Linked DNA regions of Rattus norvegicus. The protein of the gene in region 1 interacts with the protein of each later gene in a pairwise test. Links are inferred from orthologs where the notes say so. Each region holds a gene or a part of one and is shown on either strand. Other genes may lie near its edges.

The links. The genes of interacting proteins can lie anywhere in the genome.
Region 2: the proteins of Dnajb11 (region 1) and Ubr1 interact in a two-hybrid assay, tested with the Homo sapiens proteins (2 studies listed by BioGRID and IntAct). The link is inferred for Rattus norvegicus from reciprocal best matches to the Homo sapiens genes DNAJB11 and UBR1.

What each region holds. Positions count from the first base shown.
Region 1 is NC_086029.1:91,659,166-91,662,897, reverse strand, and holds part of Dnajb11 (dnaJ homolog subfamily B member 11 precursor), read left to right. Parts: intron 1-643; coding exon 644-776; intron 777-2,620; coding exon 2,621-2,763; intron 2,764-3,038; coding exon 3,039-3,121; intron 3,122-3,333; coding exon 3,334-3,391; intron 3,392-3,732. UniProt on the Homo sapiens protein: As a co-chaperone for HSPA5 it is required for proper folding, trafficking or degradation of proteins.
Region 2 is NC_086021.1:128,372,592-128,377,140, reverse strand, and holds the start of Ubr1 (E3 ubiquitin-protein ligase UBR1), read left to right. Parts: upstream 1-1,668; coding exon 1,669-1,749; intron 1,750-4,549. UniProt on the Homo sapiens protein: E3 ubiquitin-protein ligase which is a component of the N-end rule pathway. Recognizes and binds proteins bearing specific N-terminal residues that are destabilizing according to the N-end rule, leading to their ubiquitination and subsequent degradation.

The sequences.
Region 1 (3,732 bases):
TGCACTCTCTAAAGAGCAGACGTAGTGAACACTCACAATACGTTCAGATGTTCAAAATTAACCTTAAGGAATCTCTTAAATTAGGCCGGGCATGCTGTTCACACCCTTAATTCTAGGCAGAGGCAGGTAGATCTCTGAGTTTGAGGCCAGACTGGTCTACAGAGTGAGTTCCAGGACAGCTAGGGCTATGCACAGAGAAATCCTGTCTAGACAAACAAACAACAAAGAGCAAACAAAAGGAATTCCTTACATTAACCAAAAAGTTTAAATTGCACCAGATTATTTATATTAATTATATTAATTATATTCTATCCTTTTTCAATATGTCTGTCATATCTGGATTTTCATTGGTATTTGAGTGGATTATCCCATTGATTGAGTCCAGATTGAGTCCTTTGACGTATTACACTGTGCACTTAGGTGTGGCTCTTGGGTGTGCAACATGTTGTATTACAGAGAGCATTTCTTTTGAGGTGGGCAGCAACCTGATATATGTAAATTAAAATTGTTATATCTAGATTCAGTATATTAAATATCTGGTCTGTGTAGTACACTGGTAGGAACAGTATTTTACCAAGGGGAAGAGAGTCAACTGTGCGACAGGGTCCGAGCCCTCTGTCCTGACGGTCTCCTGTGTGCACAGCTTCTTCGGAGATTTTGGGTTCATGTTTGGAGGAGCCCCTCGTCAGCAGGACAGGAATATTCCAAGAGGAAGTGACATCATCGTAGATCTAGAAGTCACCTTGGAAGAAGTGTACGCAGGGAACTTTGTGGAAGTAAGTTCGCACAATGCACCTACGCACACTGACCCACAGAACTTGTACTTTTGACCACAAATCAGAGACTTTCCAGTACTTTTTGTCTTTTAGAGTAGGAGAGGGAGTGACTGGCACACAGTTAATTCTTCAGAATCCTTAGTTCATAGCAGTCACAAACCAAACTGCCTAGCCTGAGGATGCAGTGAAGCAGTACCATGCCTGTGCCTGCCTGTGTGCTTTTCACTGCCCTGGCTCACCACTGCTGTCTGGTGTGTTGCAGCACTGCACATGCATGAACCTGAACGATGTGTTCTTGCTGTCGCCTTTGAGTTTGTAAAAATGGCACCTCGTATTTTGAGAGACGTTTGTCTCTGTGAGTCATCCTTGCTGCCTACAGCTGTCAGTCTGCTGAGTAGACGTCACTGTGACGTCAGTGGGGTTGTGTTCTTTTAACTCCCGAAGAGTCCTGTATGTGAACATTCCTGTACATATTGTAATTACACATGAAGTGTGAAAGTAGAATTGTTGGGTGTGCTGACACGTTTATGCATTACACAAAAATGCCACAGTGTGTTTGAAATTGTCCAAGCCAACAGTCAACATGTTTGCCCCACCCCTGTCCGTATGGGATATTCCCTGCTCCCTCTTAATTAGAATTACAGATGGGTCTAGATGTTTTCTGTATCTTGGTTGCACTTCTTAATCTCTGACTGGGCTAAGCATCTCTTTTGTTGGCCCTGTTTGTTTGTTGTGAGATGCTCCATCACCGTGCGCCCTGCTTTGTCTCTCTCATGTTGATTTGTGAGACTGCTTCATATTTGCTCTTAAGTCTCTGAGCCACGATGCAGATGTAGCTATCCATTTATGATATAACTTGTTTTACACGGTATTTAGAATTTTAATTAGTACAAGTGTTCATTTTAATGTGAAAAAATCTGATCTTTAATGATTAATTTTTGAGTCTTACATTTTAAAAGTCTGCTCTAAATGAAGAAGCTGTTCTGTGTTCTCTAGTAAAAGGTGGCTTTCTTTCACCTGCGGTTGTCTTCTGTGACATTTGTCATGGACTTTGCAGCTAGACTGCATGCTTTCAAACCATGTGGTCTCCCTTAACCGAATGTGCCGAGAGGAGTAAGAGCCCCTACAGAGCTGCGATTAGATGTGTGCACGACTAGTGGGTGTAAGCACCACTGTGGGCGGCTTCTCCAGACGCTTAGTCATTTACGCCATGAACACAGTGCCCTGAGAATACACAAATATAAGAATGTGGTGCTTTTTAAAAGCTGTATTTTAGTTTTAATTTTGTGTATATCTATAGGTGTGGGCACAGGAGTGCAGATGTTCAAGGCATCAGATGTAGACAGTGGAAATCGAACTCAATCCTCTCCACCTTTTGGTTTTGTTTTTTGAGATGAGGATAACATAGCCCAGACTGGCCACAAATTCACTGTGTAGCTGAGGACGTGTCTATGAATGTGTTTGGATGGTGACAGCACTGGGGATTACTCCTGGGCTGGGTTGCCTAAAACAGAAAGAGGGGGTCTAGGGAGATTGCTCATAGAACTGGGAGGTAGCCACACAGCAGCTTTTGAATGCCATGGCTGTTCTGGGGGTTGGGGGTTGTGCTGTGTATAGCTCAGACTTCTCAACATAGCAATCCTGTGAGCTGCTTTAACTCAGCGGCCCTGCTATGTCTTGGAAATGCTGATACTAATATCTGGTTTTAGTCTCTTCCCCTCTCTCCTCTCCTACAGCTTCAGACTGAGATCAGAGTCATTTCAATACCCACTTGCTGCCACCCTGTGTGGGCCTTGGTTTGTACCCCAGAGAGGAAAACTAAAGGCTGTTTCATGTGTTCTTAGGTAGTTAGAAACAAGCCCGTAGCCAGGCAGGCTCCTGGCAAACGGAAATGCAACTGTCGGCAGGAGATGCGAACCACACAGCTGGGACCAGGGCGCTTCCAAATGACCCAGGAAGTGGTTTGTGACGAGTGCCCTAATGTCAAGTAAGTGAAAGGCCCTCGGCGTGTGTCTTGTGTCTACTTGTGACAGATGCTTCCCTCCAGCTCTGACCCCGAGTACACGCCCTGATATCTGTGTGATGCAGAGACGCTCTGCTCTCAGTGTTAGCATCTGAACGCTCTGAGCAAGCCCAGGCAGCCTTGGCAAGCAGCACAGTGGGCTGTCCAAGAAAAGCCTCCCTGGGAGCACAGTGCAGAGCTGATGGTACCTGGGCTTCCGCTGCTGTGTTCTAGCCCCTTTTAAATTCCCTTTGTCACAGACTAGTGAATGAAGAACGAACACTAGAAGTGGAAATAGAGCCTGGGGTGAGAGATGGCATGGAGTACCCCTTTATTGGAGAAGGTGAGATGCTGGTGTGGATTATGATAACTCTTGCCTTATCCCTTAAATATATGGCTGCATGTTATTGGGGGGGGAGTGAAGGCATTGCCTTCCCAGACAGACTTAACAGAGACACTGCCTGAGGCAACGGATTTAAAAGTCACTCGAAGTGTCAGGTAAAAACTGAGTTCAGATTGTGTAATTTCCGTTTCTTCTTGGACTGCCCTGACCAGGTGAGCCTCATGTGGATGGGGAACCCGGAGACTTACGGTTCCGAATCAAAGTTGTCAAGTGAGTATCAGCTGGGAGAGACTCCCAGCTTTGCGTTTTGCTTGAGCGATCACAGGACTAATGAACGAGTCCTCGCTTTGTCTTCTGTTTTATGCTTACAGTACCATAGGCATTGTTTCTAACTCTGCAGCAGTACTGAAAATAGGAGGTGATGCGCTGGCCTTGAACCCCAGATATTTACCGAGGACTTAAAAATGCAAAAGATGCTGGCAGGAAAGACTGGGTGAAAACGGAAGAGCAAATGGGCACTGTACAATGCTTGGAAAAGGCAGGCACAGCCCTGGGGCTGGGCCCTGGCACTGTATAGGCCTTGATGGCTGCCACATTTGCCACATGCCTAT
Region 2 (4,549 bases), on another chromosome or scaffold:
AGCCTTATGCCTCGTGCTCTCCCCTTCCCCCTGACCCCCAAAAACGGTCACCTGATTTTTACCCAACAGTGTCTCGTCTCAAGATAGAAAGAACAATCCAACAACAGTGTTTCTCAAACTTTATTTTCTCAGGATCACTTTAAATGCCTTAAAACTATTGGGCCCCTCCCCAAGAATCTTTTGCATATATGGTTTCTATCGATATTTACTGATTATAATTTAAGATGGAGAAAATTTTTAATTAGCTTAAAAGTTTCTATGCAGGGCTTCATGTAACCCAACAAGTTCCGCTCTTTGTTGTTTTGGGTCAGGGCCTCATTCTCAGCTAGACTGATCCGGACCTATATAGTTCTGCTGCTTCCAACTTGGAACAACCCTCATATCTCAGCCTCTCCAACGCTAGCTAGCGTTGCAGTTGTAAACCAGCCATGCCCGCTTTACAAGCATTTAAACAGCATAACATTTTATACATTCCTTTTCTATTTTTGAGATGGGGTCTCACCATGTAGTTCCCGAGTAGACTAGGCTGGCCTTGAATTCAGAGATCCACCTGCCTCTGCTTTTGGAGTGCTTAAAGGTATGTGCCATTATACCAGGCACAAACAACATTTAAAATGAAAATTAACTCTGTAAACAAATATTATCCAAAATGTTAGAATGGTTAATTTTCACAAATTTCTTAAGTTGCAATTTAATAGAAAATGGGTGTGTTGTAGTTCTGCCTCTATCTATAGTCAGTCATGTGTCGTTTTGGCTGGAGTATGCGAAGAAAATTTGACCTTACAGATCTCTTTAAAAAAACAAAAACCAAAAAACAACAAAAACAACTACCATGGCAGACGAGATGGTGGAGAACCAACCTCCTCAAATTGTCCTTTGACCTCCAAACATGAATCGTGGCACACACACACACACACACACACACACACACACACACGTATACACACACGTCACTAAAATTTAAAAAAAATTTTTTTTTAAATTTAAAAAGGAGCCAGGTGGCTGACATCTGTCACTTGGAATGCCTATGTGGGAGAAATGTGTGGAATTGGAGGCTATTATTCGGTTCGTAAAAACCAAACCAAACCAACCAAACAACAACAAAAAAATAAACCCAAGAACATATGACACTAAATTAGCTCTTTATCACCTTTGTCCTCCAACCCTGGTCTTAGCCTTGGAGGCTTTCTCCTGGCTCAGAGCTATGCCTTCGCACAATGCATAGTTGCACAAATGCAAAAATTGTAGTCTGTGGCAGCGTTTTCCCCTCGATGTTTCCGTATATCTATACCTTGTTCTTTTCAGGCGGAATTCCGTAACGGGGTTGTATTCAGTTTGTCTTCCCTTACGGATAAATGGATTAGGTTTCTGGGTTTTGTCATCTCACCACGCCTACCCCGGGGTTAAGGGATAAAGACAGAGCAGTGAGGACTTCCCTCAGGGATCAGCCCCGGGAAAGCAGGACTACCCATCAGGGGCGGAAACCTCCGGCTTGGCAGGTTGGAAGCCTGCTTCCGGGAAGCCGACCGGAAGCCGCTCAGGGTGCTGCGACAAACCTGACTTCAGGGGCCGTCGTAAAAGTGTCGTCTCTGGCGCGTCGGGTCGGCCACAGGTTTCCGCTAGCTGGCAGCCTGGGATCGGGAACTGCGGGCGTTCGTTTCCCTTAAGATGGCGGACGAAGAGATGGACGGCGCCGAGAGGATGGACGTCAGCCCGGAGCCTCCCCTGGCCCCTCAGCCGCCCGCATCCGTGAGTCTTCTTCGGCTAGCGCCTTTTGTCCTCTCCACCAGCAGCTTCCCACCGCGCCTGGGAGGGTTTGGGGCTCCGCTTTCTATGGCGGCGCTGGGGAAGGGGAGTCCTAGGATTGAAGGACCGACCCTGCCTCCCCCCATAAAGTTAGTCGTCTCCTGCACGCATTCCTGCCAGACAAATCTACGGAGTTTAATGACTGTCATCTATTAAGTCTCAACGTACTCAGACAAGCATGTCTCTATTTTGAAGTGGAAAGAACTCGTGGAAATTTAGGTGGTTTGCTCTAGGAGCTGAGGTGAGGCTAGAGAAGGCCATTTTTCGGTAGACGCATTGCTGACTCCTCTTGTTGATAGGAATTGGGACCAGCACTTGGTGTGATATAGCATTTGTCGGCTGGATTTGATAGAGGCAATGAGTGTTGCGGCTGTCAAGTCATGTCCAGATATCCATTATTGTAGCGTCTTGAGAACCTTAGACCTGGCCCCCACTGAGGGAAATTTGTCATTTGTCATGCCTTTTACATGTAAGAAGGGACTTTTCAAGGGAGAGAATGCTGGAATCTATACTTGGCTCTTAGCTTTTGAAAGAAGAAGAAAGGGGAGGTAGAATAAAATTAAGTCAATAGTCTGGCTGCAGGGAGAATACTAACAGAGTAGGCTAAAAGGTGAAGTAATGTTCACAAATGTTCTGATGTGGTCCCTTCAGATAACTAGCAGGGAGGGAGACACTTGTGAAGTACTCCCTACTGATCACGACACGTTTTATCAGTTTGTCTATAGCTGCATATGGAAAAGTGTAGGAAACACACCCACACAAACCCATTGTATATTCACGTACCTGTTAGTGAAGTTGTTTGTAGTTTTTAATAAACTCATTCTTGGCTTACTTTATCCTGGTAGACTCTAGAACATTATTTTATGAGACAAGAGAATGACTCAGAAATAAGCCAACCACAGGGACAAGAGAAAATGTCTGTAAGATAAAAACCCAGTAGGGACAGGGTCGGAATAAGAATATGTACTAGATCAGCTCTTGGCAGTCTTCTTCCTCCTTCCCCAAAAGTAGCTGAAACTCACTTCACTGTTGGTAGTGAAGCACAGATGAAAATAGTTAGAAAATGGTTCCAAGTGGCTAAACTGGTTTTTGTTTATTGTTGTTTTTGTTTTTGTGTTCTAGTGCTGGGGAGAAAACTCAAGGCCTTATGCATGCTAGGCAAGGGCTCTTCTGAGCTATAGGTTAAGGAAGAAGGATCATTTACTTGCTTTTCAGGAGTCAGGCAAACCCTGGGCTAGACAGTGAAACTCCATCTAAAAACAAAAATAGAAAAAAAGATTCACTTGTATGCGTGTGATCTAGTATGTTATAGTCCGAAGACTTGTAGTTCCCTATTGCCAAAGATGAGTAATGTTTATTTAAATCTTTGCTATATTAATTCTTTCCCACTAGCACTGCAAAACCATAGTAATAAAACCATAAAACATTCATTAATTTGGAATTGGAAATAATGGCATAGAAATTGAACAGGAGGGGTTGGGGATTTAGCTCAGTGGTAGAGCGCTTACCTAGCAAGTGCAAGGCCCTGGGTTCGGTCCCCAGCTTGGGGGTTGGGGGGTGAAGAAATTCAACAGGAATCTGTAACACTCCTTCAAAGAATAATTTATTTTTGTGGGGGCACAGCTTTTTAAACTTAACAAAGAAGCAAGGAGTGGTGTCATGTAGCCTCAGCGAACTCGGTCTTGTGATATAGATAATATAAATGATGAATTTAGATTCAAGATAGGGTGGTGTAAGTGGACACAGACCTATGACTGTGAAGCCTTTTAGTTTTTTTTGGCTTAAGTCCCAAGTCTTTTTGCTTGACCCCAGAGTTCATCCTACTTCCTGTACTTTTTCTGGCTGCCCTTTTCCATTTCATTCTCTCTATTTAAAACCTTGTAGTTAAGCCAGAATCGCTCAGCTTGAGTCTTCAGCACCCCACCGATGTTTGTTTAACTTGTATCTCAAATCACTGCTGGGCCTTGTGGAAACAAAGTAACAAATATAGGACAGCTACAAGCTGTAATAAAGATTTCTGTTCTCATTAGAGTGCCTTTCTAGTTACAGTTGCTGATTTCTTTAAACTAAGTTTCTTTTTCTTTAGATACAAGGTTGGTTTAGTAACCTGTCAGCAAAGTCTAGCATCAAGTAACAAGTAGAATGAAATGATAGGGCTGGAAGGATGGCTCAGAGCTGCTTCCTGCACAAGCTTGGTACCTTAATTTGATCATTAGAACCAATGAAACTGTGGAAGGAGAGAACCAACTCTACAATTATGCCCTCTGACTTCCACATTCATGCTGTCGCACATGTACCCATCTGCTCACCCACAATAATAGTAATAATTTAAAAATATTAGAATGAGATAATGATGGAGAGTTATTGGGCATTTTTACAAGACATTGTTTAAGATTCACCAAGATAAAAAATAGAGTTTAAAAAAATGTATCAAGAGAGTTGATTCTTGGACCATAAAAATCCAAGAGGTCCAAGCAGCTACATATTCACAAAAATGCCTTATTAAGCTAGCCACTTGGAAGTTACCAGTTTAGAATTGATGGTTGAGGCTATAGAAATGAATATCTTTAAGGTCAAGTTGTGTGCATATACACACACAGAAACCACCCAGCTGAGAAAATAAGAGTGAGACAATGTCTGGGATGTAGTTTTTAAGAAAGAGTAGTTTATTGGATCCATGACAAGGACTGAGAAAATTGGAAATCCAGAGGGCATTGGGTGGTCTGCCGGAACATCTGCTTTC